Rhinolophus ferrumequinum: one gene and its partners. The protein of the gene in region 1 purifies or fractionates together with the protein of each later gene. This does not show direct contact. Links are inferred from orthologs where the notes say so. Each region holds a gene or a part of one and is shown in the gene's direction. Other genes may lie near its edges.

Region 1 (7,552 bases):
CTGGAGCCCTCTGGCGAGTGACAGCCCAAGTCCTGCGCAGCCCAGAGCCTGGTGCTGCCTCCCCTCAACACAAATTAGACCTGCCTTCCCTGTCCCTGCGTGTTTCCCAGCAGCCTGATTTTTTGCTACCCCACCTTTCCTCAGAGCCCTTTTCTTATTTCTCTGGGCATGTACAAGTGTCTCTCTCTCTCTCTCTCTCTCTCTCTCTCTCTCTGCCCAGGCAGGATGAGACCAGAAGCAGAAAAGAGAAGGCTGTAGTCACTGCATTTCCCACCTGGCTATTTCCCATGGGGCTGGGGAGCCACAGGCTGGACAGGGCCTGCTGCAGCCCACAGCAGCAAGTCTTGAGGCCAAAGTACTGCCATGGGTGTCATTAGGAAAGAACGCAGAGGCAGCAGCAGTAGGGGGAACTGGGCTGGAGAGGGCAGAATTCCTCAACTCCAAGCAGATAAGCCCTGCACAGTAAAATGAGAGAGACCTCGGTGGAGTTTGTGCTGTAGAAGGGCTTTGAGGGAGGGGGTGCTCTGGCACTGCCACAGAAGTGCAGCCTCACCAGGGTACAGAAATCCCTGAACCAGAAACCCACCCTGGGTTTCCTTAGATCCCTCAGAGAAAGGCCACGCCCCTGGAGACTACTGTCATGGGAGCAGCTGCCAGGGGCTGACTGCCCTCCCCCTTGCAGGCATGGCTGCTCTGCCCACCTTCAGCTCCTGCGACATGAAAAGGCCTGTGCTGCACATAAACATGTCTGGAGCCCACTGCCCAGGAGCGGTTTTACAAACTGCTTAAAGGTTCAATCTCTCATGTCATACTGCAGGGTTTAAATCCCATCTCAGCTGCTTACTAGCTCATGTGTTTCCATGGAAACAATCTGCAACCTCCTAGAGCCTTAGCTATCTCACCTGTTAAACAGAGGTACTTAGACTTAAACCTTCACTACCGTGTTTTCCCGAAAATAAGACCTAGCCAGACCATCAGCTCTGATGTGTCTTTTGGAACAAAAATTGATATAAGACCCGGTATTATATTATATTACCCAGTCTTATAGTAACATAAGACCGGGTCTTATATTAAGTTTTGCTCCAAAAGACACATCAGAGCTGATGGTCCAGCTAGGTCTTATTTTTGGGGAAACACGGAAGCAGTAGTGAGCTCAGCAACATGTCCTCCCGGGACCCTAAATCAGCACTATCAAATCAAATTCATCAGAAGGATTATTTCACAGCCCCACACCCCGACCAGACACAAACACGTAGCTGATCACATTCCTTTGTAACAAATGGTTGTCACCATGGCAGAACCACCTTCACCTATTCCTTCTTAAAGAGCCCTCTCTCTCAAGGGAACCCCAAATCAGCTACTGTCAGGCAGAGACTTAGAGCCAATATATGAAGACACTGTGTCCCTTCCTCCTTTCCTGGTTCTAATTCCTCCTATCTCCCTTGCTGAGCCCATCACGCTTACCAAGTTCTCACGAGGGTTAATTTGTACTGGCTTGGGAGCCTTCAGGGGCAACTGTGTCTTCTATCAGCAGCACTAGCAAGTAATCCCACCCTGAGAAGTCACACTGAGAGAGGAAAGGAAGAGAAACTGGCCGAGTAGGGTACACTCCTGGCTGCCACAGAGAAAAGGAATTTTTTCATTTGGAGTCAGAGCTCCTTGCCGATCGCTCCTAGATCTTTGCTGAGCTTGTTGAAGTTGCCAGCCTATTTACATAGTACTAATGGTGTGCTTTAAATTAATACTTTGTAGCTAATGTACTGAATGACAAAATCTGGATTCAGAGAATGAGGGAATGAATTGAAGACATTTAACCCAGAAAAACAGAAGCTTCTGTACTTGGGTTAAAACTAAAATGACTTACAGAAGTGCATTAACAGGGATGTATGAAACAGATCTGAGGGTTTCAGTTGACTAACTTAAAGTGGATTCAACTGTATTGTATGGTATCCACAAAAATCTACTATGATCTTAGGATGCATCTATAGATACATAGTGGCTATTCTAGAATGAAGGGTGTGATAAGATCACTCCATTCTACATTAGGCAGAACATTCAGTATTTTCAGAGCCATTTACAAATTCAGGAGTATGTAGGATAGTGAGTGACTTTAAAAAAATATGTCACATCAGAAAGAGGTGAAATAACTGGGGAGGTTCTTGGTAAGAACATAATTGTTTAAGGATTAAATGAGATAGCATACTGAAAGTGTTCAGTGAAATGTCCGGCATAAGTGCTCAATTAATAATAAGAGAATGATAATTAGTAATGTTATTAGCACTGTCATACGACTATTATGATTACTATTATTATAGTTAAGGCTTATAGAGTGCTTTCTATATGCTAGGGACTATTTCAGATCCTTTACATATACTGACTTATTTATTCCTCTTACCCATCCTATGAGGTAAGTACTACTATGTTTCCAATTTTGCAGATGAGGAAGCTGAGTCACAGAAAGGTCAAGTAGATTGCCCAGTGTGTCTCACAGATGGGAAGGGGAAAGAACCAGAACATTAACTCTGGCAGTGTCAGGCTACCAAGGGTAAAAGGCTCTTTCATTCTTTCATACTTGTTTTGTACCACTCCAGAGGGCAGAACCAGGACCAAATATGTACAAACTACTGGGAGGAAGATTTCAGCTCAACAACAACAAGAAACCACTCTGAATGATTAGAACTGCCTGAAATCTCAGTAGGGTGTCTTTTAAGGTAGTGAGTTCTCCATCATGGGATGTAAGGGAAAAAAGAATACAAATGAAGAAATGAAAGAAATGGAGCTCCTCTTGGAAAGAAACCATACAAATGATGAAGTCAACCCTTGGTGCAAAGAATAAGGAAGACATAGTGAAACTTGGTTTAAAAGACATTACTGAAAAATTGAAAAGTTATGGAAAAGATATAAAGGTGAACTGATACCTGTCTTGCTGCTATCTCAGCTCAAAGTAACTTAGATGTTGAATAAAAAGCAACAAAATGGTATATTTCACATATGAATTTGTTTAGAAACTCACTAGACAGCCTGGATTTGAAAGAAGCAATCCCAGGATCCTCACAGATCTGATGGCCACCTACGTTGAAAGTGTAAAATACAGACAGGAGAGGTATAGTCTGCTCTCTGGAAGAAAGGGCATCTGCCTGAGAAAATAGCATCAAGGCTGATGTGAGTAGGTGAGATGCAGGCATGAGGTTGAAGATTATAAAACACCATTAGATCCAAAAATACAGACTTGTAATGACAATTGAGTATGTTACCATGATTTTAATCCTGCTACACAGTATGTGGTCAACAGACTTATTTCACAGTTTAATATGAATGTCGTCTGTGCTGAATCTATCTTTCTGGGTACAGCAGTCCCACGATCCAAATATTTGCTGATTTAATATAAACTTTCTCAACCAGCAACACCAAGCGGTGGCTAGTTAAGGATCTGAGTACCAGCAAAATATCTTACTTCTATTATGAAAAAATGACTGAATAGTATATATACATATATATAATAGTATATGTATAGATAATAGTATATATATTAGTATGTTATATATAATAGTATACACATACATACACACACACACACACACACACACACACACACATATATACTGGGGGGTGCCAAAAAAACGTATACAAGTGGAGACTTTGGTCAATGTTGCTCAAGCGGTAGTTTGCCATAATCAGAAGTATCTGGATGCTGATGGTAACCACTTTGAGCACCTCTTGTAACTGCAGAAGTCAAACGTGACTTGTATTCATCTTTTGTTACCAGTATATATTGAGTATTACAATTTTAGTAGTTTTCCTTTCTTAAAATGTGTCTACATTTTTTTTGGCACCTTCTGTATATAATAATATCACACTCTCCACCAAAAATGCTCCCATTTCACATAGTAAATAAGTTTTCAGACTATTTGTACTTGGACAAAGGTGTATTTTGATTTATGAAATTCAAAGTATTTGGTCTTTTTAGACTTACAAACTTAATTCTTTCTAGCATTCTAGCACTGAATGATTACCAATTTAGACAGGAGCTTCTATTTGTCATATAGGTCTGGGGCTCACAAAAAATAAAACCATGTGGGGGCAGCCGGTTGGCTCAGTTGGTTAGAGCGTGGTGCTCTTAACAACAAGGTTACCGGTTCGATCCCCACACAGGCCAGTGTGAGCTGCACCCTCCACAACTAGATTGAAACAACTACCATGTTTCCCGAAAAATAAGACCTAGCCGGACCATCATCTCTAATGCTGTCTTTCGGAGCAAAAATTAATATAAGAGCCGATCTTATATTATACTATATTATATTATGTTATATTAAAGACCCTGTCTTATATTATAATAAAATAAGACCGGGTCTTATATTAATTTTTGCTCTGAAAGACAGCATTAGAGATGATGGTCCAGCTAGGTCTTATTTTTGGGAAACACAGTACTTGACTTGGAGCTGATGGGTCCTGGGAAAACAAACTTAAAGTAAATAAAAGTTTAAAATAAAATAAAATCATGAAGTCATGGAAAAGTGAAAGCTTATCTCCCATGAAAGTCACAAGAGATGAAAACCATACTGACAGAGCCTAAATGAACACGATGGAGTTATAGACGTGGATTAAAACTGGGAGAGGTGGCATATGATATTGATTCGTTAAAGAGAAATAGTCAACTTCAGCGCAGGATCTGAACTGTAGGGAAAATAATGGGCCTTGATGGCTGATGAAGCCAGAATGAGAGGAAGAGGAAAAGGCAATAACCCCCAGCACTGGACGCTGACCGTCTCGGGTAACCAGGAAAAGGCAAACATAAACAAAGAGCTATGTGACGATGCCTGGAGCGTTGGGGGGTCAGGAAATACTAGCAGGTTCCTGCAGCAAGGCCGCGGGTCAAAGTGGTAACTGGGGATCTGAGCTCCGCGGTGACGCGCGGCTCTCACGTGACCAGGAGCCTATGTCTGCCCAAGTCCCTCTCGTCCTGGTCCTTTTTGCCTGTCCACACACCATCTGTGTATTGCCCTTTGGTCGAAGGGAAAAGCAGAAATAAGTAAGTTCCCTTGGTCCTTTGAAATCGGTGTGAGTGCCGGTGCTGCCCTGTAACCCCTGGGATCGGGATGGCAGAGGCCAGGCCTATCCCTATGCCAGCACCGCGCACGCACTTCGGTGCAGAAAATGGTGGTCTTGGGGGGTGGGGTGGGGTGGGGTGGTGAGTGGGCCACCCCCAGGGGAGAGCTACACTTAGAAATAGTTTCTAAGTAATCCTTCGCTTCCACTTCCCGCCTGAAAAGAAATAACGAGCATTACGGGGTGGGGGTGGGGGCACGGAAGACGAAGCTTGAGATGGGGGGAGACATGGGGGTGAGGGGAGGCATGGGGGGAGCCAGAAGGGGATGGCGCGGGGGCGGCGGCTGGTGTCTAGAAAAGGGGCGTGAGTGTCGGTCAGTCCTTCCCCCTCCCCTCCCCCCGCCCCCTACCCTGTCAGGCGTCTGTCTGCTGGTCTGCAGGTCACAGCGGGGCACCTCCAGGAGAGAACGCTCGGGAGCCAACAGCCTGGAGAGGTCCGGGAAGGGGTGGGCAGGGGACCGAGATGGGGTCCCAGGGAGGACGCCGGTGGGAGCGGAGCAGGCGGCGCCGCCGCCCCGCCCCTACCACTGCGGGAGAGGCCCGGGGCAAGGCCTGCTGGGAAAACGGTGGGCTTTCGGGAAGGAGGGGGCGAGCCGGGCGGGGGCACTAGAGGCGGCCGGGTCCCCGGGACCTGAGCCTCTCGGCTTGTGTAGGTGGGAGGACCTGGGTCCTCAATCAGCAAAAGGCAAGTATTGGAACCCGAGGCCGGGGTTTTGGTCCAACCACCAAGTATGCTGACTCGACTCTGCCTTTCTTGTCTCCTCTGAATTAACTGCTCATGAAGACCATTGCCAACATGGAAAAATCCTGCCAAGCAAATGAAGAACAGCCACAGAGCGCGCCCAAGACGGAGGAGGAGCAACCTCCCGCGGAGCAGTCTTCCGAAGAGCCGAGTCCAGAGGAGCCGTCGTCCGAAGAGCCGAGTCTAGAGGAGCAGTCCTCCGAGGAGCAGTCCTCGGAGGAGGAGTTCTTTCCCGAGGAACTCCTGCCCGAGCTCCTGCCGGAGATGCTGGTGGCGGAGGAGCGCCCCCCTCAGGAGCGCCTTTCTCGGAAGGACCTGTTCGAGGCGCGCCCTCCCATGGAGCAGCCTCCTTGTGGAGTGGGGAAACATAAGCTGGAAGAAGGAAGCTTTAAGGAAAGGCTGGCTCGTTCTCGCCCGCAATTTAGAGGGGACATACACGGTAGAAATTTGAGCAACGAGGAGATGATAAAGGTAGCAGAGGAGATGGAAGAGATGAAAAGAGTACGAAACAAATTGATGATCATGCACTGGAAGGCCAGACGGAACCGTCCTTATCCTATGTAATGTGTCAGGCCTTCGATGCTAGTTGGCCTGATTTAAGTATTGCCACCTGAACTTTGCATTGTCTCGTATCCCTCTGGCCATCTTCTTCATTTTAATTTTTTGTGTGGCTTTATTTAAGGTGTTTCACTTGGGCTTCCACTCCATCCCCCATCTGCAATTCTCTCTCTTCCAATCATGTGTCTCACCTATTTGCATGTCAAGATGGACGTTATATATTGTGAAGTGAAAAGAGCAATTTTTGAAAAGTATATGTAATATCCTGCTTTTGTAAAAAATGTATATTTATATATTAATATGCAAAGAAAAACTGAAAGTATATACTTCAAAGGCTTAACAGTGGCTATCTAAGTGTGATAAGATAATAGATGACTTTTTTGTCTGTTTTCTTTCCATGTTTGCTTTGTTGGAACTTCTCGTTTTTTCAAGACGAACACATTTGTGTTGCAAAAAAAAACCCAATATAATGGGAAAAAATGTAAAGCAATTAAAAAACTGTCTATCAGTTTATAAAGACAATGTGGCACTTAATAAATACTTGTCAGAACTTAAAGTAAATCTCATGTTTCTTCTGAAGCTCTTAGGCAGAAATATAAACCAAGTACTTATATTTAAGGGTCATTCTTTTCCCATTTAAATAGGAATAATACTTGACTTGCAGGGCTGCTGTGGAATCAAATGAGGTAAAGATCGTTTGAGCTGTGTGTTTTTCTCCCCACCTGCAACATGCAGGACCCCAACCCCAATAGAGCCCCTTCAAATCCTGGGGCTGGTACCCAAAGGAGGGCTCACATGCACATGCACTCACAATTCCTGTGAGATTCCAGGTGAGTGCCACATTCTGTTTCTGTCCTGTTATTATCTTCCCTTGGATACTGCCATGTGTGCTGGGCACAGCTGCCCCTTCTCCTGGATCCTGCTTCTTCCACGGCTTCCATCACAGCCAATCCTTTAGTGCAGAGCCTCACCGATTGCTTCCGAGTTCCTGCTGGACCAAAGCTGAACTGTGTCTCCCACAGGTATCTGGTGAATGCCCCTCCTCCAGCTTTCATGTTACACTTATCCAAGTGGATACCATCCCAGTGCTGCCTAAATCTCAATGTCTTAAAGAATTCTTAGCAAAATAGTCCTTTCCAATTTTTT
Region 2 (7,796 bases), on another chromosome or scaffold:
GGAAGGACTACATAAAGAATGAAGTTTGTTCAGAATATACAAGTCAGGGGAATCAAAAATGAACATAAAAGCAATAGATTCAAACTGCCCAAGGTTAGCTCAATATTTATTGAGCAATTGCTGTGTGTTAGGAACTAGAGTCAAATAAAAATAAAACGGGATGAAAAAACCCAAGCATAATTAGAATGAGAAGGTAGGAAAGCCTACTTCAGATCCAGGGAACACAAAGAGTGAGGTCAAGGCTGAGTCAAAGGCAAGTTCATCAGGAGTCATGGTCTCTAAGGGCCAAAAGTTTCAAACAGTGGATCACAGTCAGCCCAGCTGTTATCAATGGAGTAATCAAAGCAAACCAAGTTGACTTTTGTTTCTACTTTGGATATAGAAAGCTTCAAGGAAATGTTGTTCTCACTGTGATGATGAGAATGAGCTGGGTAATCTATAGAATCATACTTATTTTAAGTCCATTAGAAGCTCTCAAAGAAACCTAATGAATGAAACTCCAAGAAATGACCAAGTTTTATGAGAGAAGGGACCCATGCTTGAGTTCATTCTTGGTAGATCAGCAGGAAGACCAGAAGAAAGCATCCATAGATGTAGGCAAAAAGAAAACAGCTGAGTTTTTAATATAATTTTAAAGGCAGGATGTGGTTTGGAATGACAGTTTAAATTCCTGGATTTGAAGACACAGGGGAGTCTGAACCAAACTGCCAACTCTTTTCTATAGATCTTTTTCACTGAGTGCTCACAAGAAAGGGTAGGGCAGGACATCTGAGAGAGACACCTGAGGCACCGATACACCAGGCCTGTTGAAGTCTGAGGATGAAGCAAGAGAAGCAAGTGCTTCTCCAGAAGCGCACTGGGCCTTACACTGAGTATGAGGGAGCAGTTATCTGTCCCTGGAGGAGAGACGGGTAAGCTGAGAGGGAGTCCTTATGAAGAAACCTCACAAACACTCCAGGCCTTACACAGAGTATCAGACAGCAGCTATCTACTGCTTGGGTGATGGGCAGGAGAGCTCAGAGAGACTCCTAAAATGCAGTGGGACCTGCTGACATCTGTGGGTAGGTCAAGAGAAGGAAGACAACTCTTCCAGGCACTCAGATCCCAAGTTCTGTTAAAAGAAAGCTTTGGATACCACTAGGCCACAACGAGGGGGCTTGGATTCTGACTCCCCATGCCAGGCTAGTACTCCTTACTTTTTTGAGCTCAAACATTCCATGCCAGGCAGCCTCTCCTTATGAAAACCTACTTTGCTCGGCACTCCTAATGGCTTTAGGATTGAAGTGTTCAGGAAGAGGAAGTGAAAGAGAAGGAGGAAGGAAAGGGGAAGGAATCTTAAAATATTTTACTAGATTTTTTTATATTTAGCTCTTTGATCCACCTGGAACTTATTTTTCTGAATGTTGATGTAGGGATCTGTGTCACATTTTCCCTAATGGGTAACCAATAGACCTCATAGCATATATTGAATAATTTATTATTTACACTTATTTGAAATGGTGTGTTAATCATAAACTAATTTTCATAAATACATGGGTCTGTTTTTTTATTATTTTAACTATATATTTCTATTTTGATTCATTCATTGAAATTATAGTTTAATTTGAGGAGGAATGACATCTTTACTATAACAAATCATATAAATAGAGGAAGTTTTTAAAATCTTTTTTATTACATGTCAGAAAATTCTTATAGTTTTCTCGAGATAGGTTTTGTTCTTTTCATGTTATGTCTTTTTCTTAGGTATTCTGTAGTTTTCATTATTATAAATGGTTTCTTTTTTCTATTATATGTTCTAATTGATGTTTGTTATGGAATAGGAATTCTTTTGATTTTTGTTTGTTGATCTTTTATTGCACCACCCTCTTGATTCTTATGTTAGTTCTAATTGTCATGAATGCTCTTGAATGTTCGTGTGGTCAATTCCATTCACAGGATTTTAAAATTAACTTTAAATTCCAATAGCAACACAAATACATTTGCCTTATAAAAATGAATTGCAAATAATGCTTATTGACCAATACCCCCAATTCTAGTGTGAACCCATCAATACCACTAACCATCACTATGACTTTTAATATATATATTTCACAGAACATATATAGTGTTGTTTTTATATGTGCATTTTTAAATAGTACCAAATATAACTTTCATTTTTATTCAAAATGTGTTTTGCTAATCTATCCTTATTGATACTCATATATATTTCATTCCTTTTCAAATGCTCTACTTCTTTCCATTATACTACATTCCATTTATTTATTCCCCAGTTGAAGTACATTTAGATTGTTTCCATTTTTTCACAACCATAAACAATGCTGAAATGAACAATCTTATTAATAGCTCCCAGTGGTATGTATAGGTGTTTTTCTAGGGTAGATACCATATATTCCTGGGTTTCTAGAAAGCTTAAATTATTTTTTAAAATAATGAATAGGTATTGAATATACGTGTGCTCTTAATAATCCTAGTTTTCTAGGTAGTTCATTCTTCAATGTGAATGCATGTTCTTTTTAGCCCCTACTAATACGAACATATGATTTTTCTTTAAACCAGTTGTGGTGAATTGTAGTAATTTTCTAATCTTGAATATCCTTGTATTCATATGATAAACCTAATTAATCGTGTTGGTTATTTTTAAAATATACTGTGGGATTTAATTTGCTGATATTTTATATAAGAATTTTCCATCTATAATTCATAAGAATGACTTAACAATAGTTGTCCTTTCTTGTATTCTCCTGGTTCAGATTTGATAACAGGGTTTTGCAAGCTTTATAAAATGCATTGGATCTCTTTACATCTTTCCTAAGTTCTGGAACCATGAATATAACATAGGAGTTACATGTTCTTTAAAATTTGGTAGAACTTGTCCCTAGCAACTGTTTCTCAAATTAGTAGTTTATTAGTAGTAATCTAAGTCCTCCATACCCTCACTTATTTTAAAAAATCTATCTGAGGTGCCTATTTATGGGATAGATATATTTATATATTCTACTTTGACTACAAATAGTCAAAATTTCCTTATAGATTTAACAGTTTAGTCTTAGCTTCAGCTAGGTAAGCTATGTCTTCAGAGTCATAATAGTTCAAAAGTATATATTATCTTTGCGAACTTTATCTTTTTTTAATATAAGATGCTTTTCTCTTTTGATGCTTTTACTTTCAATTATGTTAATATCACTTTATTAATTTTGTTAATATTGCTTTCCTTCAATTTGATTAGAAAATATTTTACCCCAATATTTTCAAGTTTCCTTTGCTGTCATTGGAGTTTGCTTGTAGGCAGTTTGTAGCTGGAGTTTGTTTTTAATCCATTGTGTCTTTTTAACTTATGAGTAAAATTAATCCATTTATATTTATTGTAAATACTCATATGTGGACTTATTCCTCTCATTTAATTTTTTTCTATTTACCATATTTCCATCAAGTGTTTGCTTCTGTTTTCATTTTTGACTTTTGTTGAACCGGATAGGTTTTCATTGTTCCATTTCCTCATTTTTAATGGTCTACAAATTATAAATCAAATTTAATTCTACAGGGTTTATACTCAATTTAAAAAAATTAGTATCAACTATTTAGAACATATGTTCACAAACAATACCTGGAGTTAACTTGCATCTATAATCCTTTGAATTCATTTCTAAACTTTCTCTGATTCCCAGTTCGCACACTTGTATAATTGGGAGCACAAGTTCTTCACTCATTATTTTAAGGATTAAATATGATGCCATATCAAGTACCAGATTTTATAAAGTAAGAGGTCTTCAATTCCTTCATTCCATTTCTTCTTCCTTCAACCAATAAACTTCAGGTCCAAATCACACAATCATCTCATCTCCTTTGTCCTTCAAAGTCACAGCCTCTTTCGTATCTGTGGCATCATTATGGCCTTCATTTAGTCTTTTAATTTCTTTGTTAGTCTCAGAATATCTTCTCATCCTCCCTTTGCATATATAAAAAAAAATCCCATTCTGCATTGTACTGAGTGGCCTCTCTAGATTTAATGAACGTCACTCCATGCCTTTCTTCATTTTTCCTACAAAATGGCGGACTTTAGACGTTCCATGATCAGCACCACGTGCGCCTGCGCCTCCCGCGGCCATTTCGCCCGGCAGCCCAAGATCCTGCCTCAGGTCCGCGAAGCGCCTGCGCACGAGCCCGCAGAGCACTGTCGCTCCTCCCTCTAGTTGAGTACGCCTGAAACCGCACGTTCTTGTCCCTTTCCTCCCCCGCAGACTCTGCACCGCCTTCACCCCTTTCCTGTGAGATTCTTCCGCCAAGTGGAAAGCCCTTCTTCGGTCGACAGGCTATGCCCTTGAGGAGCAATCTAATAGGCTCTTACAGCCCCGGGGTTCGTCATTCAGTCCTATCTGTGCACCACTGCAATTGTCCTCTGGGCCCTAAAGTTGAGAACCGATTTCGCTGGACTTTTTTGCATACCGTGAGGCAATAAACGTAAAGAATGGCTGTGGCGGAGGGATCTTTCGCTTACGTTCGGTGTAGTTTAACCTAATGGGGGTCGTCCGGGAGTCGGAAGGGGGAGGGCAAAGGGAGGAGGCAGCTAAGGAATTGTTTTTTTCTCTCGCCCCGCCCTGGGCAGGCCGGCCAATTGCGATGGGCTATTTCCCCACGAGCCTTACTCAACTTCTTGGACTCAGCCAATGAACGACGGAAGCGGCTCCGAGGGGGCGGGCCCGGGAGGCAGTGCGTGTCTTGTGAGAGCTCTTGAACCAAGTCAGAGCCTGAGTCGGCTGGGCGGCTGGAGTCGGCGGCGGCCGCGGGTGACTCAGGGAGGCGGGGTAAGAGCGTCGCGGCCTCGGCTCCGGGGAGACGAGGAAGAAAGGTGAAGGAGCCGAACCCGCATCCCCCGCGCCGCAGACGGCGGCGAGGGGCGGCCGGGCATCGGCGGCCGGGAAGCGGGGTGTCGGGGCGGGGCAAGTGCGGAACCGTGGGGGACCCGGCCGCCTGGGACGGGCTCTCTGCATCGGGGCCTTTTCCTTTCAGGGGTGAGGGGTTCCGAACACTTTAAAATCCACTTAAGCCGCCAGTCATTCTCCCCTCACTCTCTCTGTATGTAGGTTTACGGTTTTGGAAAAGCGAAACTTGGGAGAGCGAGGGTCACGCGACGCTTGGGCCCGTGTTTGCAGTGGGGGAGGGATCGGGGCGCGGGGAGGGTGCGGTTGGAGAGGTCGGGTGAGGGTCCTCCTTCGCACCCGCCGCCGCCCGGGGTCTTGTCCTCCGCGCGTGGGTAGGACCCTTCCTTCTGCACCCGCCTCCCATCGACCGCCCTCTCCCCGGCCCCCCACCACCTGCCGCCCCCATTGCATTTTGGTTTTGTGTTTTGGCAGGGAGGAGCCCTTCCTGCAGGCGTGGAAACCATGGTGCTTACGCTCGGAGAAAGTTGGCCGGTACTGGTGGGGAAACGATTCCTTAGTCTGTCCGCAGCCGACCGCAGCGACGGCGGCCACGACGGCTGGGACGCGGAGCGCGTTGCCGAGTGGCCCTGGCTCTCCGGGACCATTCGAGCCGTCTCCCACACGGACGTTACCAAGAAGGATCTGAAGGTAAAACCGGCACGGAGGCCTCGGCGGTAGGACGTTTCGTACTTACCTTGATCCCAAGACAGCTAGCACCCTCCTCCCCTTTTGTGAAAAGGACGATCGGAAAGAAAGTTGGCATCTGACCTGAAGGTGCAGAAAACTAGACCTTAAAAGTTTGTGAAAGGGTTGTGTAGAGCCGAGGTATGTCTGGCGTAGAGTTGCCTGGGTCTGCAAATGGGCTTAGGGTTGTTCAGACATGTTTCGGTATTGCCGGCGCTGTGCCCCATTAGGACTGTGTGACGATTTCTCCGGAGGGGGAGTATCGTTGTTACTATTAAGCTGGGCAAGTGAGTGACGTTTGGAATCATTAAGAATTGAGGGCTAGTGCTTGGAAGTGCTTCAGTTGGCTTTTATGTTTGTTCCTCTTAATTTCTTCACCCAACTTCATGAACTTTCAGTCCTGTTAGAAATGATGTGTGCGTGTAGGAGGAGGAGCTTGGTTGTATTATGCACATTAGGGTGGGTATTTGTCCATATATGGTGGATCAGGGCAGGAGTGGGTTCCTGGTTGTGTAAGATGCATCTGTGGGTGGGTGTGGGATAGGACCATATATGGAGGGATGGGGTGGAGCTAGCTGCCCCTTCTGTGGTGTGTTGGAGGTTTGACTTGGAAATATTCCACTTGGGTGTTTAGAGAGAGGGAGAGAAACGAGAACAAGTGCGGCCAGGGATTTTTCCAGTTACATCTTTTCAAAAAGAGATGAATTCTGATTGTACTCCCTAATAGAAGTGTTGGTGTGAAAAGATTGTCTGGGAACACCAGTGAGGAAGCCATTGTACCAACAAAGACTCCTTTGTGCAAAAATAACTGAAAAAGGTCCCTAACAAAGACTCCGAAGTGATGATAACCTGAAGGAAGCTTGTCAGGACAGAAGAGATTTCTACCCAGGGTAATGGATGTGTTTCAGTGTCTTGGTCATTCATTATCTTTGCTTTTTTCTTTTTTTGAAAACTATACTCAAATAAGGGAAGCAACTTTTAGCATTGGCAGTTAAATATGTGTTAATTTCTGAAACGATTCATTTGAATACTTTCAAGGTGACCATGCATGCCTAAACCAGTATTACTCTGCAAAGGGTTTTGGGGAAAGGACGTGTGGTTATATATTTTTAAAGCTTCCAGTGTGCCTTGTCTTCATGTTGAAAAAAAGGAGTAACCCATTGAGCATTTAACCATGTGCCACAAATCCTGCTGACCACTTCACAGCCATGATTTTATTTAATCCTTATAGCAGTTCTTCGGAAGTAGTACTAACATTGCTCCTTTTTACAGATAAAAATCCTAGGGTTGGAGGGGGGAGATTAAGTATCTTGCCGAAGGTCACATACCTAGGAATTGGCATAGGCTGTGTTCTAACCCAGGAAGTTTTGACTTCTGAGCCCACCCTCTTAATCATCATGCTCCCTGATCAAGGGCTGTGCCACAAAGGGCTCTTGTCATACACTGTAAAGTTTGGTTTTTTCTCCGTTTCACTCCCAGTAAACCAGGTTTTGATGTTATAGAAAGAATGTAGCGTGGTGCAGAGATGGCCAACCTATTTGCTTCAGGCTAATAATCTTTCTCCATAAAATGGGCTTTGTGTAGTAGATTTCAATCATAGTTGTGGTTTATTTCACCTGGCAAATACAGTGTTCTCTAGTACATTTGTTCTTACCTGATTTGAATGGGAACAAGATTTGATTTAAGCTGTACACTCTTTAGTTCTTTGGCAGATGATGAGAAGACTGTGTGTTCTCTTCTTCAACAGCGATTGAGGACCATCGGGTTAGGAAGGCAATCTGGGAGGTCCTATATGTGTATTCTTTTTGATCTCCATATCTCCCCACCCACCCCCAGCCTTTGAGATGGTGGCATGATCTTCATTTTTCAGAATGAGTAAATGGATTTAGGAAAAGGAGTCTTGTCTAAACTTGCATAATGAGCTACTAAGTGATGGAGGGAGGATTTGAATCTAGGTTTTGCTGTGTGTATGTCTTTTCCACTGAACTAAGGTGCCTGACATGGAATTTTAATTCAAGAACAATTTTAAAAAAATTTTTATTTATTGGGGTTACATTGGTTAGTAAAATTATATAGATTTCAAGTGTACAATTCTATAATCTATCATCTATGTATTGCATTGTATGTTCACCACCAGAGTCAGTTCCTCTATCACCATGTATTTGACCCCTTTGCCCTCTTCTACCACCCCAT
Region 3 (7,499 bases), about 35 Mb from region 1:
CCCTACTTCTGTCTCTCCTCCACCCACAGCTACTTCCATATTTGCACTAAAGGAGATCCAGCTACAAAAGGAGGCCAGCCTTCGCTCTTCGTCGATGCCTGACTCAGGTAGGTGTGGCTCTTACCCTCTTCCCTGCCCCATCCACCTACCTGCTTGTCCACCAACAGCCATCCGCTCTGCTTTTGCCCACAGGCAGGCCAGCTTTCCGTGTGGTGGACACCGAGTTCTAAGCCGAGTTCTAAGCCACAGACCCAGGCCCCAGCAGGCAGCAGCTGGAGGGATGCCATACCCCTCACAGGGCAGCCCCCAACTGCATCCTCCCTGCTTGCCACCTGCCTGACTCATGCTCACCTGCCCACATGTCCCCTGCTGCCTGTCCAAACACCCGATCATTGGCCTGTCAACCCACCCATTGGCCTGTCTGCTGGGTGCTAACAAAGCTCTCAATGCTCCTTCGCCTGGTCTGTTTGTCTCTTTCTCTCTGTCTCAGTAGTTGCCGGCGGACAGCATGGCCGTGCCAGCCTCCCACATTGAGGCCAGGCCTGTACCCCTCCTCATCATGCCCTCCCCCAGGACCACTCACTACCCCTTGGCTAGCCAGGGGGCCAGAGCTAGCCCAGGCAGGGGTTCTCGACTCAGACAAGGTGTGGCGATGCCTTGGGTCTGAGACTGTCCCTGCCTGCTTTCCTGCCTGCCCCACCTGCCTCATGTTTTGTGGGCCGTTTGTTTGTTTGTTTGTTTGTTTCATTCATTGTTTTTTAATTATTTTAAATGAGGTTTTCATTTTTTAAATGCAATATCTCTGTATACAGACTGGCTGGGCCCCACCCCCTGCGTGTGGCCCTTCCACAGTATTTTGTGCAATGAAGCCCCACTCCCAGCCTTTCCAAGGCAGGGACACAGCCCCTATTCAAAACCCTGACCATCACCAGACCCTGGGGTCGGCTAAGGGAAAGCATGCCTCAACTACTCGCCTTCCGACCCCCGCCGGCCATCCCCAGCCACAGGGGTACCTGGGCCCTACTGGAGACTCTGGGAGATGGACAAGGTGGGGGCCCCCACTCTTTCCCTCTTGCAGTCCCACAGCTGGGGTCTCTTTCCTTCTCAGGGTCTCCCTAGCCCAGCCCTCCTGCTCCCATCCCACTCGGTGCTGTTGAGTAGGGGCCCTGCCGGGAACTGACCAACTCAGTGAGGAGCCATAGTGTATATGTGCACAGGCAGGGACAGGGGGGCAAAAGGGGGGGTTGTGCCCAGGCGTTAGCCCCTAACCCCTGGGGAGGGTGAGGCAGGGCAGGGACAGTCTCTGGGGTCAGTCCCAGATGGGTGGTTACCTCCCCTTCCTCCACTCTAAACCCTGGGTCCCTCAAATGGGGTGGGAGGGCAGGGGTGGGTGCCCTCCTAGTGGGGTTTGGGGGGTTGGGTTCCTGAATGCACCATAATCGCTGTATGAAATATTAAAAAGTCTAAAGTGAAAAACGTGATTGAAAATCCCTACAGGGGTGAGGGTGGGCTTGACCCAGGGTGAGTGCTGGGACCACGGTGAATTCATACCTGGTCCCCGTAGTGTAGGAGAACACGGGGAGTGGGCCAGGGACACGTCACAGCTATGAAAAAAGCATCAGGGTTTGCACACACACCGGTGGAACACTGAAGCAGGTAAGGCAGGCTGGATAGAGGATGGGCTAAGAATCAAGCAGACAGAGGAGTTGGATTTACCCAAGAATATGAGGAAGCCAGCTAGAGGGTAGAGACGGGAAGGTGTAGGGAGGCTGTTTGGAAAATACATGAAAGGCCCACAAAACCAGGAGGTGGGGAGATGAGGCAGCAAGGCCCAGTATGACCACCACGTGTCTCACTGGGACACCATAAGGCAGGCCAGTTGGAGAAGGAATATGAGAAGAGGATGGATTTTGGACCACTGAGGGGGTAGGGGAATCCTATAATACATGGATTAAAATCAGGAGTGAGTCCATCAATGGAACTTGAAGTTTGGATCATTAGTGTCTAGGAAGTAATGAAAACCACGGTGAGACGTGGGTGAGATAACCCTGGGAAGGATGCAGTCATTTGTGAGAGGCCACAGGTCGAATGGCACAACCTGGGACTTTGCCTAAAGTGTGAGGGTAGCCGAGGCTTTCATTCTCTTTGTCCTGAGAGTTCTAGCCCCTGTCCCACCGTTTTGGGCAAAGCCAAGAATCGACTTCCAAGCAGAAGAGATGGGGTGGGCAAGGCCAGGTAAACAGTGCAGGTAATAGCAAGTCTAACTATGCTGGTTACGGAAATCCAGCGGCAGGGGCCCAAGGGCCTCTAATCATTACACTGTGTTCCTGTATGCACTTTGGTTATATCTCAGCTTGCAGCCTCACGGTTCCGTGATGGCTGTCATGGCCCCAGAGGTGGGAAAGCAAGCAGGCAAAACAGGGCACCCTCCCTCCCTGTCTGTTTCCTTGTAACAAATAGGGCTGCAACTTCCTGTGCCATCTCTTGGCTAGAACAAGATAAGGAAGTTGTCCCCCTTCCTGGAGCAAGGGAGGCTGGAAAAATGAAGACCTTGCAAAGGGGGACAAGATTGCCAGGCCAGCCTTAGAAAGGCTAGAATTCACACAACTGCTCTGGGAAGTGGTAGGGTCACCGGTGTGGGCAGAGGTGGGCTTCTGGAAGGTGCAGAGAATGAGTCCAGCCCTGGGGAGGGAAACCTTTTGGACTGTAGGAAGGACTGGCCACCCAGGTAAATGGGGAGGAGGAGTCTGCAGAGGGGCAATGGGAGAGCAGCTGGGCTTGAAAAGCAATGAGCAATGTGCTATGTGCCAAACCCAACCTGAATGCCGCTATGGGGACCCCCAGGTGAAAGGGCTGCTCCCTTTTCTTCCTCAGAGATTATGCAGCTGAGTTGTTACCCTCATCCGTGCCAGGTCTGGGCTGGGGTCTGGAATCAGTAATAAAGACAACCCCTGCCCCACAGAGGTAAATTATGAGATCGTGTATGTGGGGCGGGTTGAAATTGTGCACAGAGAAGGTATTCTGGACACTCCAGGCCCAGGGACCTGTGTGCATGCATGGGCCTAGAGGTGTGGAGAGGCGAGGTGTGTTCTTGCCTGTGGGACGGGGTGGTGAAGTGAAAGAAGTCACTGAAACAGACCCAGGATCGTGAGCCTGTCCTGGGGAGTTTGTGGGATGGTCAGATGGGGATAACCAAAATACAAGTATGTAGATGCAGGGAACCAGAGGGAGATACTACTGTTATCACCAATAGGGAGGGTGGGGAGCCCTAGCAGAGAAAAGAATGGCATAACCTAGTGCAATGATTCTGAATCGGAGATAATCCTGCCCTGCCCCCAGGGGACTTTTGGCAATGTCTGGAGACACTTTTGGTTGTCCCAACTGGGAGGCGCTAACGGTATGTATAGTGGGAAGAGGCCAGGGATGCAGTGCAACATCCTGCACTACTTCCCAAAACAGAAATGCCAACAGTGCGGAGATTGAGAAACCCTGGCCTAGTGTAACGGTTCTGAAACTTTTGGTCTCAAGCCTTTTATATTCTTTAAAGTTGAGGACAGCCAGAAAGCTTTTGCTTTTGTCACAAAGCCTCTGAAAACTTCCACCACACGTGCAAGAGAGAATGACAATAAAAAAAGTATTATGAAACTATTTTTGACTTTGTGAACCCCCTAAAGGGCCTCCTGAACGGATTGAAGCCTAGGAACACAGTTTAAGTATCTCCAGCCTGGTGTTTAAGGTCACAGCTCGAACTGGAATTCCTTTATTCAAACCACAGCTCAGCCACTTACTGGCTGGAGCAAAGTGAAGTAACATTTCTGGTCCTCAGCTTGCTCCACTGTTGCCCATGGGCGACTGATATCTGCTGCCTAAGGCTACCATTTACTGCAATAAAGCACTTAAGGCTGTTACTAGTTATCATTGCTGTAACTCCGATAAATACACAGGGCCTGGGGCTGACTTCCATTCAACACGGTTATGGAGAGAACAAACCTAGTTCAGACAGGGAAGCAGTCCGCAGGCCTGGGTGGCGCTGTGGAGGTGGTGACCTCTTTCGCATTGGATTTTGATAGACGAGAAGTGTAGTGCATTGAAAGAAGGGCATCCTGGTCCGGCTAACAAAAACGCCGCTCCCAGGGTAGGGACCCGCGGTCCCCAGCAGAGAACCGAAAAGACCTGGTACCTTTGTGTGTCCTCGAGCACTCCCCAGTATGTCCTCGTCTACCTCGGGGACCTCTGCCTCCACCCTCCACACAACCATTTGCAGGGACTCAACATGGCGTTAGGATCCCACAAGGCACCTTTGTCTCTCTTAGCTCCCAACTGGAGGTTTTACCCCGCCTATTAGTCTGAAACATCACCACCCACGGTCCAATGCCGGCCTAGCGCTTGGACGTGTCCCACCGTGGTGCCCATTTCCAAGATTGTAGGAGCCCCCGGCTAGTTGGGGGGCTCCGCTTCCGTTTCCGGGCCAGAATCCGGAAGTGCCAATTGAGGGGGACTCCTCTATGCCCCTGCGAGGGCTGTAAGAGGAGGACGAACGGCGATGGCGGCGGTCGCAGCGAATCCTTCGGCTACGGCCGAGGACCCAGAGCCACAGCGCGAAGCGGTGCCGGGCCTAGAGAGCCAGCGGCGCCAGATTGAGAACGTCGAGAGTGGGCGAGAGCGTCCACTACGGGCCGGCGAAAGCTGGTAAGACTGGGCTGCAAGCGGAGCCTTGGCTAAAGGGATAGTGGGGGTGTTGGTGATGGTGGAGAACTTGGCGCCCAGGTCCGCAGTTCGGTGGGGGCGGGGGTGTGGCCTGTGGCCTGTGGGACGGAGAACGAGCGGGGCAGAGGGGCGGGGAAGTGCCTGTGAGTGATCGCTTGGTCTGGGAAAGAGGCGTGGCCCGGGGGTGGAGCCTAAAGCCTGAGAACCAGATGGGGTTTGTTATGGAGAGGTAGGGGGCGGGGCCTGATAAGAAACGGCCTTGGGGGTGGGCCTGGTCCTCCGTAGAGGAACTTGGAACCTGGGAAGGAGGCGGTCCGGCGGCGGTTGGGGGCGTGGTTTGCGTGGAGTCACGTAAATCTGGGGGCGGGGGCGGTTGCTCCACGGAGCCTGAGAACGAGGCAAGGCGGTGACGTCAGGGAGAAGAGCGAAATCCGAGCTGTGGGCGGGAGAGCGGGGCTCGCGCCTGGTAACGAAGTACGTGACGTGCGCCGAGGGGCGTGTCCTGAGGCTAAGGAAAGACTGCGGCAGAGGGGAGGTGTTGCTAGTGAAGCAGAAAATGGCGCCGGCGAGTGAGCGAAGTTTGTGACGCGGCGAGGTTTTTGCTTTCGGACGAGGCCTTCCCAGGTCGGAAGAAAGTGCAGGTGATTGGCGCGGGAGGGACCTTCGATGTTATATTTGGTTTCTGTTTTAGTACTGTTATTTTTTTGTCTTCAGGGAAAAAAAAGCGCTATTTTTAAAATGTTAATGAGTATCTCGATAAATAGGGTTGTTTTTTACTGATTTCATGGCTAACCAGTGCGTGAAATCTACTGTTTCTGAGTTCAGTTTCTTTTTTGCCGAATTGTATCTCCTTTTTTAAATTATGAAATACGTAAGCCTTAAGCAAATTGTATAAAACGTTTAACGTAGCCCAAATCGATGGACATTCTATAAAAGTAAACGGCCGTTTTGAATAAACGGCTATTCAAAAATTTCAAGGTCGTGAAAGACAAAAGATGAACTGTTCCAGATTGAAGGAATTAATGGGATTTAACAAGTTAATGGTAACTAAATGAAACGTGCGATCCTGGATTGGATCCCGGAGCAGAAAAAATAAATAATTGAAAAATGAGGCTTTTTTTCCTCATAAAATTAATTTTCTCTTCTTTACTGTAAAAGATGTTAATGGGAAAACTGGTGAAATTTGACTAGGTCTGTAGATTCGATATTAGGACCGCTAATTTCTGGCTTTTGGTAATTGTGTTGTGGTTGTGAAAGAGAATATCTTTGTTTGAAGGAAGAACATGCCGGAATATTTAGGGGTAAAGAATCATCAGCTTACTCTCAAATGGTTGAAAAAATAGGGTATATAAAACTGTATTTAAAGAAACAATGGTCGAGCAAATGGGTAAAATGTTAAATTTGGTCTTCTGGATGGCGGGCATCCGTGAAGTCTTTGTATTACTTTTGCAGTTATTCGGAGTCTGTTTCAAAGTAAAAAAAAAAAAACAAAGAACAATAAAACAAAAATTTGTGAATTCACCACTCGGGTTAAGATTCAGACGGTTACCTTAAGAAAGCCTTCTGTGCCCCTCCCAGATGAAAATTCAGGAAACTGTTATCCTGAATTTTTAATTTTGGTAAATGTTTTTCCACCACTGTATGCATCCAAAAATAGTGTTTGTGGTCTAAGCTTTAATTTTCCTGGAGAATATATATGAAACCATATTGGATGTATACCGTGTACATTGTATCAGGTGGTACATGGTATCCACATGACGTCGTTTGTGACGTTAGCCTTGATCACGTAGTGAAGGTGATATCTGCTCGGTTTCTCCACGGTAAAGGTACTATTTTTCTCTTTCCATGCACAGTAATTCTTTCAAAAACATAATCTATGTCCATCTGTACCTCAAAACATTTTAGCAGCTTCCCACCTCTTGCAGTGTAAATGGTAAAATTGTTAGTGGCTTGCAAGGCTTTATGATTGTGAGGCTGGTCCCCAGCTCTGATTTCTCCTCAGATCTGATTACCCTCCCCCTCACCTTCTCCAACCGGCCATATTGGACTCTTGCTGTTCCTCTAAGGCCACGAGCGGGCTCCCACCTCATGGCCTTTACAGGGAGGTCTGCCCATCTTACAGAGATCTTTAATCACGGAACTGGTAAAATATATATATTCCTGTTACTGGAGAGACACGGTTGAGATTCCCTAAATCCGCAATACGGAACCAAACACTTTTTTACACCGTTAAGCTATGGCTCTCCAAGGAAAAGCCTCAGTCCATCCTGAGAATAAACAACAATAACTGGAACGTCTTTATGGCCCGTTTAGAGGTGTTCAGGGTTTCCTTTTCGGGGGGATTGAAAATGTTTTGGAACTAAATAGAGGTTGTGGTGGCACAACATTGTGAATGTACTAAATGCCACTGAATTGTTCGTTTTTAAAATGGTTCGTTTTCTGTTAATTTAATTTTTTGTGTGTTATATCAGTAAAAAAGTTAACCCACCAATGTTGGTTCAGTATTGAAGCCAGTTTATCTCTGCTACTGTGGATAATATCAAGAAGCGTTTTTCCTTAACTCCATTTTTTTATATGCTTATCTATTTAGGTAAGAGCAAAGCATCTCAAGGTTCTTTAATTTGCCGCCTATTTTCTAGGGGTTTGCTACAGTGGTCAGGAAATTTGTGTTTAAAGCATTTTGAAGTCATGAACTAACCCCAAAATCATATACCTCGTATCAATATTAATATTTGCACCTTCTGTCTTTTGTCAGCTGGTAGATCTGGGTAAGGGCAATTGATTTAATTTCT

Evidence for each region.
Region 2: the proteins of TCEAL1 (region 1) and KDM3A purify together in Homo sapiens (affinity purification with mass spectrometry; 3 studies listed by BioGRID and IntAct, counting the BioPlex papers as one, with this or other methods). This does not show direct contact. The link is inferred for Rhinolophus ferrumequinum from reciprocal best matches to the Homo sapiens genes TCEAL1 and KDM3A.
Region 3: the proteins of TCEAL1 (region 1) and USP11 purify together in Homo sapiens (affinity purification with mass spectrometry; 4 studies listed by BioGRID, counting the BioPlex papers as one, with this or other methods). This does not show direct contact. The link is inferred for Rhinolophus ferrumequinum from reciprocal best matches to the Homo sapiens genes TCEAL1 and USP11.

The regions. Positions count from the first base shown.
Region 1 is NC_046284.1:51,310,847-51,318,398, reverse strand, and holds TCEAL1 (transcription elongation factor A protein-like 1), read left to right. Parts: upstream 1-4,923; 5' UTR 4,924-5,029; intron 5,030-5,486; exon of another isoform or gene 5,487-5,540; intron 5,541-5,676; exon of another isoform or gene 5,677-5,795; intron 5,796-5,872; 5' UTR 5,873-5,884; coding exon 5,885-6,412; 3' UTR 6,413-6,962; downstream 6,963-7,552.
Region 2 is NC_046296.1:8,022,006-8,029,801, reverse strand, and holds the start of KDM3A (lysine-specific demethylase 3A), read left to right. Parts: upstream 1-4,718; 5' UTR 4,719-4,846; intron 4,847-5,351; 5' UTR 5,352-5,381; coding exon 5,382-5,567; intron 5,568-7,796. UniProt on the Homo sapiens protein: Histone demethylase that specifically demethylates 'Lys-9' of histone H3, thereby playing a central role in histone code.
Region 3 is NC_046284.1:86,668,983-86,676,481, reverse strand, and holds the start of USP11 (ubiquitin carboxyl-terminal hydrolase 11), read left to right. Parts: upstream 1-4,495; 5' UTR 4,496-4,543; coding exon 4,544-4,689; intron 4,690-5,198; exon of another isoform or gene 5,199-5,348; intron 5,349-7,499. Other genes in the region: CDK16 (cyclin-dependent kinase 16), read left to right, coding at 30-107, 491-534.